Linked DNA regions of Caenorhabditis elegans. The protein of the gene in region 1 purifies or fractionates together with the protein of each later gene. This does not show direct contact. Each region holds a gene or a part of one and is shown in the gene's direction. Other genes may lie near its edges.

Evidence for each region. Proteins that work in one complex are often made in the same cells at the same time.
Region 2: the proteins of C44E4.5 (region 1) and ZC21.8 fractionate together in Caenorhabditis elegans (co-fractionation; one large-scale study listed by BioGRID). This does not show direct contact.

The regions. Positions count from the first base shown.
Region 1 is NC_003279.8:4,603,948-4,610,768, forward strand, and holds C44E4.5 (NudC domain-containing protein 1), read left to right. Parts: upstream 1-1,707; 5' UTR 1,708-1,741; coding exon 1,742-1,853; intron 1,854-1,903; coding exon 1,904-2,070; intron 2,071-2,166; coding exon 2,167-2,485; intron 2,486-2,536; coding exon 2,537-2,604; intron 2,605-3,086; coding exon 3,087-3,177; intron 3,178-4,765; coding exon 4,766-4,970; intron 4,971-5,331; coding exon 5,332-5,551; intron 5,552-5,684; coding exon 5,685-5,958; intron 5,959-6,005; coding exon 6,006-6,166; 3' UTR 6,167-6,274; downstream 6,275-6,821. Other genes in the region: eaf-1 (Ell-associated factor Eaf), read left to right, coding at 1-109; D1007.8 (Nucleic acid-binding, OB-fold protein), read left to right, coding at 456-671, 720-905, 953-1,330; ubr-4 (UBR-type domain-containing protein), read right to left, coding at 6,321-6,509, 6,560-6,821.
Region 2 is NC_003281.10:8,518,372-8,521,504, reverse strand, and holds ZC21.8 (uncharacterized protein), read left to right. Parts: upstream 1-1,518; 5' UTR 1,519-1,559; coding exon 1,560-1,652; intron 1,653-1,986; coding exon 1,987-2,083; intron 2,084-2,127; coding exon 2,128-2,243; intron 2,244-2,370; coding exon 2,371-2,463; intron 2,464-2,506; coding exon 2,507-2,545; 3' UTR 2,546-2,601; downstream 2,602-3,133. Other genes in the region: GTPase-activating protein pac-1, read right to left, coding at 3,100-3,133.

The DNA.
Region 1 (6,821 bases):
CAAAGAAAGCCACGTGGCTCCCTATATATCAAGTAGTGGAAATAAAAACAAAGATTCTGAGGAGAAGTATGGATTGGCACTTAGCGAAAGCTCCGACGAAGATGACTAATTTTAAAACATAATATTATTCAGTGTATTCAACCGTCTTTCTTGTGTACTTGTACTAGTGGTGGCAGTTATTTGCTTCTGTGATTTTTTATTTATTTCAAAACCGGGCTATCTATCGCAATCATAAATTTTTTCATTCAGGCTATTCAACAGTTTTATTTTTTCAGGTTTTCTGTTTAATCCGTGCACTATTTTAAAGTCGAACTAAAGTTTCTCTGAAATTTTTAAAATTCGCTGAAACCATTTTATCAATAGAGCATGCTTCTTGCGCTAAACAGTGTCGTTTGTAGACGTCGATTTTATCTTCAAATTTCTGTGTTTTTCTCACATATTGTTCATGATTTCAGATGGAAACTCACCGGTATATTCCAGAACATGCCGTCCCAATGCCGATTTCAGCGCTATTCAATTCAACAAAAGAACGAATCGAGTACGGAACGGCAGACGTTGTTCGCGTTCAAGTGATGGGTGTAATCGAATCTGTGAAGTTCGGAGATTCTGATGTAGAATACATGATTACTGATAAAGATAATCATAATATTTTGGTTCAAAAAATCCTCACCGTTAGTCTGAATATATCGTGTAACATTGGAAAAAAGTATTAATTTCAGGCTTCTTTCACCGAAGAATCTGCCAAGAAGTTCAACGTCGGGGACCGTGTTGAAGTATTCGGAAAAGTTCGAATTTTGGAGAATGGAAAGAAGTTTTTGAACGCATTTTCGATGCACAAAGCTTCAGATGAACAATTCGCCGCTTTTCAAATAATCTGCCGTTTTTCAGAGAAGTTCTATAAAAAGGCAAGTTTCAGTGAATTTTTAAAAGCCAATAATTGCCCATTTTCCAGCACACACCTATCTTGCCAGCAGGCGCCAGCACCAATGTTCCTACTCGTTTCGGTTTGAAGAACAAAGTGGGAAGTTTGAATCGGTTCCCAATGGGAATGCTGGAACAATCATCTTCTTGCGAAAATAATATGGGAGTGTGGCCAACGGAAATTGAACAATTGGCAGCAGGAATATCGACAAGTGGACTTGTTAAAGAAGAATCAGATGTATCTGAGGATAGCAGTGATGATTCGGATGAAGAGGATGAGGAGGAAGAAGAAGAAGATGATGAGGAAGATTCATTTGATAAAGGACCAGTGAGCCTTGTGCCAATGGCTCGAAAGGAGAAGCCAAAAGAGGAGCCGGAACCAGAATATGATTCCTTCGAAAACGCCTGAATTTATAATATTCAGCTTAATTTTATTTTATCGTGTTCAATTTTCACTTATAGACATCTTGCCTTGTCTTTCATTCCACAATCTGTTTTATAAACTTTTATTTCTTTTTTTTTAAATAATTTCAATTTCTAATATGTTCCCTTAAAGGTTTTAAACCTTTTTTCATATCTTCAGTCGGCGGCACACGGTAATTGCCATTTTCCCAATATTCTTTCTAATGAAATTTCAGTATTCTACAACTAAATTTTAATGAAAGAAATTGGTAGAACATTTTATAATAAAAAACGCTTGAAATAAGCAAAATGAAACTAAGAAACTTCTATTTTTCACCAAAAAATTGATTTTTTAGTAATTCATCGAAAAAAAAATGGTTTCAGGCCTGGTCAATCCCCTATACCAATTAAATCTAAAATGCAATCAATCAATCTTCCTGTGGATCATTCCAAGATTGATGCTAACTTTGAAGGATACAAAGTTTCCATGAATAATGTGCACTTTTCGAGCAAAAGCCTGGATCAAAATTGTAATAAAAATCATTTAAATTTTCCATTTTTCGCAAAAAATAATTTTCAGTATGTCTTCGTGCTCCATCCAATGAAATGATTACTCTGCAACATATGAAAGTGTTCTCAAATGATAATCAGCTGTTTTGTGATTATTCGAAATGCACGGATTCCCAACAATTTTTGTATCGTATTTTAGACACCGGGCATATTCAGGCAATGGTTTATGAGAAAAAGGTACATAATTTTACTGTGAATGAGGGTTTCGCTTCAAAAATACTTAACGAATAAACTTAATTGTTTCTTTTCAAAAAATTAAATAAATAATTTCAGACCCAAATATGGAATACCTCGATCGTTGGCTCCATTGATGTTGGGACAAATGCCTCTTCCGCTTTTCCTACTAATCTCTTGTTCACTGAAAACAATCTGGTCGTCGCTTGCAATGGAATTTCTGAAATTACAGTTTTCCTGGCTGTCTCTGACTCAAATTGGGTTAAAATGCTGGAGCATAAGGTTTCAGAGCAAGGTCTTTCACTGATTGAAGCTCGAATTTTAAATGGAAAACTTAATATTTTGGCATATCACGTGGAAAGTGATGATTCCAAAAAGACCAGAAGCAGAATTCACTCGATTCGTATTAATTTGGATGGTTTGTATAATTAAATTTTGAAAAGTAAAAAATTTCCTTCTTTTTTTCCAGATATAGACTATGCTGATAGCCTTACAGTTGAGAAATCAATGGATTTAATTCAAAATGGACACTTTGAGGTTAATTTTTTGAAAATATCAGCGAGGTGCAAAATTTTGCAATGTATCCGGTCTCGACACGCTTTTGCTGTGAAGTAAAAACTGGCGCGCGCCTTTAAAGAGTACTGTAGATTCAAACTTATTTTTAATAGTTTATTTTTATAATTTGTGTGTTTTAATTGTTTTATTCTAGTTGTTTAATAAATATATATTTTTTAACGAAAAACTATTTAGAAAATTGATGAAAATTCGAATTTTTATCGATTTTGTAAATAATTTTCGTTAAAAATGTATATTTTCTTTAAAAAACTAAAATACAACAAGTTACAACACATAAATTTCAGCAATTCGTGAGAGAAACTATTATAAAATAAAGTTATAGAATACAGTAATCTTTAAAGGTGCACCTTCTAATATTTTGTTTTATCGTGTTGAGACCCGGTACAGTACTTTTGGTGCAACCTTTCGTGTGTAATATCCTAACCTTAAATTTATTTTTCCAGACTTGTACATTCACAAATAACGGCGAAATAATATTTCTATCGAGCGAAAAACCCCACGTGGAAGGGCAACAGGAAGATATGGAAGAAAAAGGTTTTTTTCAAATTTAAATAAATAAAAATAATAAAAAAATAATTTGTTGCAATACTACTTTGAAATTTTGAAAAAAAAGAACAACATAATTATTTTTGATCTACCATTTTCTTTTCAAATTTGTTCTACCGATTTTTTTAAATTTTCCCCGCCAAAAATGTTCCTTGTTTTTTTGTTTTCTCATCCATTCCCAATTGTGTGGCTAAAAGTCATTCATTCTTTCCATTGGTTCGACGCGAGCTCCACTCAAAGCCCCAATTTCTCTACAATGTTGAATATCTCTGGAATGAAACATTCGGAAGACGGCGCTATGAAGCACGAAATGGAAGTTCATTCAGCGACATCTGGACAATCCAAGCCGAAGCCTACAATCGAGGAGCAGTCTAGATATCTAGTTGATATCAAGCAGTTAATCACTCCATTCGACGGAGATGCTTCGAATTATCTGTTATTCAAGAGTACCTTCGACTACTTGGTGCACAATAACCATTTTCTGGAAATCAACATGAAGAATGTGGCTCTGGTTAATGCTCTCACAGGGGATGCCAAGCAATTTATTGTGACATCGAATATCATGGAGATGGGCTACAAATTGACACTTGAGAATTTGGAATGGACTTTCAATCGACCAGGATTCCAAATGAGACTTCATAGTGAAATGCTGGAGCGCATCAAGTTCGATGAAAATGATTATTCTCAAATGGAAACTGCCTTGATCAAGTATTGTTCAATCGCACGCGAGATACAACTATGGTGTGGACAGCTATTTACACTTTTTGGATTTCATCGACGCATTACCGGATGTGATCGGGCGCAAAGTAACGAAGAAGCTCATGGAGGACGACGGAGCAACCTTTGATTCGCTGAGCAAGGTGGCTTTCGAGAAGATCTATTGTCTGAAGTATCAGGAAAGTAGAAGAGAGATGGAGCTCAATAGATAATTTTAACCTTCATTGTTAGTATACATAGATGTTCAAGTTTTACCCTTTTTATTATATTTAAAATCTATTCTAAAATTATATTGTATTTATATGGTCTAAGTGATTTATGACCGAATATCACATGTATCCAATAAATCGATGAATAGAAAAAAATATGTTGTGCTTCTTGGCTTTCTGAAAATGTGATCTGAAAAACAATTTGGCTTCTTCCATGAGAGCTGGGCTCCGCAGTTTGTTTCCTATATCCATAATTTGCTAACGCGCCTGAATGGAGGGTTTTCCGCGAAATGCAGCAATTTTTGCGCTACAAGTACGGTATCCGGTATCGACACGACAATTTTTGTTATTGAGGAAAGGCATGTGCCTTTAAAGAGTACTATATTTTCGAACTTTTTAAAAAAATGTTTCGATAAAAAAAAATGTTGTTAATTTTTATTTCAAACGGTGAATAACACAATAAGCACATAAATTTAAAATTCCACAGCAATGAGAGATTACAGTACTCTTTAAAGGCGCACACCCGTTTCTATCTAACAAATAATTATCGTGTCGAGACCGGGTACCGTATTTTTGGCGCGCAAATTTCGCTTTTTTCCGACCAAAAAAGCATTTCTGGATTGCAAAAAATTAATTTTCTGAATTTTCAGTGGAACATTCATGGGAACAAACTGGGAATATTATCCAAGTGGCATTCAAATTGAAATCTGAAATTTCAAAAGAAGACGTTAAAATCGACACAACCAAAACAGGAATTCGTTTGATTGTCAAAGATCTGACCCTTCTCAGTGGAAAACTTAGTGGAGAAATTGATGAAAATGATGTGGAAATTTGTGCGGATCAAAAGACGAATTCGTCAGTTTTTTTGATATTAAGAGTGAAAAAATAACTCAAAATGAGCTATTTAGAAAGACTTCAGATTTCAGATTTTTTTAAAAATTTTCGGCCAAAAATTTGATAATGTGCCAAAGTTTTGGTATATGACCAAGCATTTTATCAAGTTTTCAAAATTTAAAAAAAATTCAATTTTTTTTGGAAATTGATATTTAAAAAATTAGTAGCAGAAAATTTTTTTGCCAAATTTAAGAAAATTTTTTATAAAAAGAAGTATTCTCCAATTTTTGGCTGAAGTTTTCAACATATTCATATTCATATACTGCCAAAATTTTGTTAAATTGCCAAAATGAGCACATAAATTTCAATAAATACATTACAGATTGAAACTGAAACTAAAGTCAATCGATGATAAGAAATGGGAGAAGCTGATTTCTGTGGAATATGATACTCTGAAATCATTGGAAGATTCAGAAATCAAGAGAACAATGAAAGGAGAACAAGTAATTGAAAGTGATGAGCCAATGGAAGAATGTGATGAGACTGAAGGATCTATGGCTTTTTATTGGGTTGATCAGGAGTCTGGAAAAGTTTTGAAACAGGTATTTGCCAACCATTTTTTAAAGAAAATTTTGTGAGAAACTAATGATTTTCTAGAAAATTTTATTCAAGAATCTAAGAAATCCAAAAAAATAATTTCTAGATATCTTTCTTTTTGAATCAACTGAATTTCAGTGCGATGTTTCTGGAAGTCAGGTTCTTTTTACATCACGTCAATCCTCCACCTCTCCTGCTCTCATTTGTCTTCGTCACGACGTTGACGGTCTTCTGTGGTCTTTCGACGAATCTGCACCCAGCCACGTGGCAACTCTTCAAGCTTTTGGATACGTTCAAGCTTCGAAGACAAGCCGTCTCTGGTCCGGATGCTCACCAAACAAGTCTTTGGCGTGTATTGTAGAAGGAAATAATCGAGTTCTGCTTTACTCGCAAAAAGTTGAAGTTTCTGGAAGTAAGTTTTCTGTCAAAATTTAAATGTATGTATGTAATTTTTTTCAGGTCTGAGCAATCGAAAAACATCGCAAACAGTGAGCCACGTTTCAAAACAACACTTGCTCCGCGTCGAGTGCTCTGATCCGATTCGTGGAGTCCAGCTTACCGATACCCATCTTTTCGCCGCCACAAAATCGCATATTCACGTGGCAGAGCTAAATCTCTAATGTATTTTCTTGTTAAAGTATCTAAACGGTTCCTGGTTGATTAAATATTTTATTTATTAAAAACTCTTGAACTCTCTTCACAAAGAACATAAAATATTTATCGCTGAAGAACATCAAACATGACTTTTTAAAAAGTTGAATACAAAATAATAAACTATTGCGGTGGTCCTCCTGCCAGGAACAAGTTGACATCGTCAATCGGAGCTCCAGTTACATCGCAGAATTCTGCAACATCTTCACATGGGAGAATATTTGAGTCAAAGTCATCCACGAATCCACGTGTCTTGTTGATAGTCTCTACAAGATGCTCACGGAGCCATTCGAGACGATCCTCTCCAGTAATCTGAATAGATGTATAAATAAGAAACCATAATAGATCACAGGTCTTCTCACCTTGATAACCTTATTGAAATATGCATCTACAAATGCCCATGTCATTAGTGTTGGCTTGAATCCATCCCACGTGGCGGGTGCTCCATTTGTCTGAGCATCATTAATTCCTGCTCGGAGTACATCATTCCTCTGATCATTCCAACTATCAGCAGTTAGCTCGGTGAAGAGGAACGCAATGAGACGATGATTCGGAGCAGAGATTTCAAGTTCTGCGTCGGCTGGAAGAGTGATTCCAAGAAGATGAAGAATTGCAAGATATTGC
Region 2 (3,133 bases), on another chromosome or scaffold:
TATAGGAATCGAAGAACATTTGATTGATATATTTGGTTTGGAGAATAAATTTGACTGTTAATTTGAATAACATGGAGAGTTTTGAAAAAACTGCATAGTAGATTCACTGAAAATATAACGAAAAGTTAAGTTATTGATAAAATATGTAATTCAAATTTTGCCAAGAATATTGTCAAAACTCATAACTTTAGGCTCCACTTTTACAGTTTATATCTCGGTTTTTGTTTCTATCAAACAATTGTCAACTGATAAAATATGGGCAAAATATTTTTCTATATTCTGGTTGTTACCATTTTTTAGGAAAAATTAAGACATAGGCCTTCAAAGTAGTGTAGTGGGATGTACGTCTAATAGGGAAAATACGGAATGTTTTAATTATTTGTATTTAGGCATTGTATGGGTTCGAATTTGCAGTGCTCAAATTTACTCAAAAATGTTCTAATCTTAGAAAGTTTGGCTTTTCATCAAAACTTTGGCTGGACATTTGAATAAAATCCCTCACCAATTCCAAGTTCATAATTTTAGATTTCGAAATTCACACTGCGTACTGTAAAATTATGCAAAATAGTCTTGGACGTTTCTATTTTTCTGCAAAAAAAAGAGCAAAAGTTCCGAATACCGTGGCTGCCAATCCATTATCTTTCACTTCATATTTGCTTATCACGTGGCTATCACCACTGATCTCTGTTTGACCTCCCTCCCGCGCGCGCCATTCCTCTCTCGCAAGTGTCCACACACAAGTAACTTCCATTAAACTGTTCAAAAACCACTCAAAACTGCGAAATGAGAAAAAAAATGAAGATGAAGAATGTGTTTAGATATTTGTGTTTGGTATGTGCCCAGTTGAGTAAGTGATTTCCATTCCACGGGTTTGGTTGTTCACACCCACCAACAAGATACATTTGAAATGATCACTGAGCACATTTGTTGGAGTGAGATGCACTGTTTGACAATGGAAACATCATGTGAATGAAAAAGGGAATACCTGGAAAAAACCGACGATTGTTGTTCCGAGGGTTGAGTCAACAGAAACGTGGAAAAGTGGTTTTTTGTCTGGAGCTGTCAAATAACAATTATTTTCTAAAAAAAAAAGCGAACGGAATAAGTTTTGTCTGGGGTATAACGATTGAATTTTTGAATTGTTAACACATATTACAGATAAAAAGAATGTCTCCTAAACCAACAAAAAAGGCCTCTTAAAATCGCCTCTTGCATATTATCGTATTTTTAATAAACAAAAGTTGGAACGAGTAGGCAATAAGCACAGGTAGACAATGATTTCACAATAACCGAAAACTTCAAGTTTTTATAGAATTATCAGTAGTTGTAGGTCGCATTAAATAGCAAAGATTTAATGCGACCTACAACTACTATTATCAATACAAATTTGAAATTTAATTTTAAAAATTTCCCCGTGATATATATATTTTTTCAAACAATTTGGAAACGTGAGAAAAACATTTATTTAAATAAAAAAATATATATTTTCCTCTTCCCTGATTCATAATTCATATTTGAATCATTTCAATTTTTACAAAAGTCAAGAAACACCTGTCCAAATGGAAGCTATCTTGAAATCAATAATGTTACTCAAGTATCTTCAATTCATCATCATTTTTTGTAGTGGACTTTGCATGGCTTTGGTAATTTGTGTGAGTTTTACTTAATTTCAGCATTGCAGGTTTAGCATTGCATATTTTGAATATCTAGGTATTTGAAATTAAAAACGTTGCGTGGACGGTTTGAGTTCTATTTTCAGATAATTGCGGGAAGCTTGTCATTAAAAAAGCTCCCGCGCAGGGACCTTGGGAGCATTTGATTATATGATAAGCCAAAAAAAGGTTGTTGAGAAACTTAAATTATATATGAAAATACTTTCATAATTAATGTATTTTCTCTTTAGTCTTGCTTCCATCCACTCAATTTTAACTGCTTATATTGGACCTTTTTGGTTAAAAAAAAAGGTAAATTTTGAAATATTTTCAGACAAAGGCAAAATCTGGAAAAGGAACGAATACAGCGAAAAGCAGCGGTGGCAATAATGGGACAAATCTGAATGCCAAAAGATCTAACACTACTCAAGGTTTGTTTGAAGTTTCACGATTATTCAAATTCAAAAATATTCAGATGATGTCAAATTCAATTTGAATATCAAAAACACGGAGCAAAAGCGGGATGAGTTTGATGATGACGAAGAGAATCCACTCGCAAAGATTCCGACAAAGGCAAGATTGCCGAAGAAGGTTAGTGGGTTACTGTAGGGGGTGCTCCTTTGAAGCTGAACTATTTGAAAACAAGGATTTAGTGGTACTGTACCGTATTTTTTCCGAAATGTTTTCAACTTGCGATTAAATCTCAACATATCTTCAGGATACTCTGTCAAAAACATCTTCGAACTCAAAAATGGATCGTGAAGCTTCATATTTTGCGCCAAACGAAAAGCAGACTGGAAAATCCTGTTATGTAAATTCAATTCTCCAAATTAAAAACTAAAAATTACTTTTAGATGAGTACCGCCATGTCGACAACCAAGACCACAACCTGATCTCCACTGAGCTACAAATTAACCTGTTCTTCTAGATTATAAATTTTGACGCTTTGTTTTGTTTTGTTAACACATCTGTTAAAGTCAAAGTTTTTTTCGTGAAGAGTTGAAGTTGGTATGATTTAGAAAAAAAGAAATATAAAGTACATGAAAAAAAGGAAAAAAGAGTTAAAGAAAGAAATATGTATGCGAAATGAATGGAGAAATGAGGAGAAGAAACCCATACCGGAGGTACGAAAGGATGATATTCTGAAGAAAATGAAGGAAAAGGGGTTGAACATGGAAATGGAAAGGATTAACAATAATAGAAAAATATATGTTTAAGATTTTTCTGAAGGAGATCTCACTAGAAACAAAAAAAGGGGAATTCTTTAAATTTCAAAGAAACCGAAGAAATCACAAGTTCGTAAGAGGTGGTGACTTTCAGAGACAGCTCTGAAAAGTTTTGTGAATATAATTGGGGGATGATGGGAACCCGTAGATCATAAGTGTGTGAGAGAAAGATGAAGAGACATGTTTTAAGGTGGGGAAGGAAAGAATCAAGAGAAAAACGATTAAAGCAGTTCATCGCCAGACACCGGTGTCAAC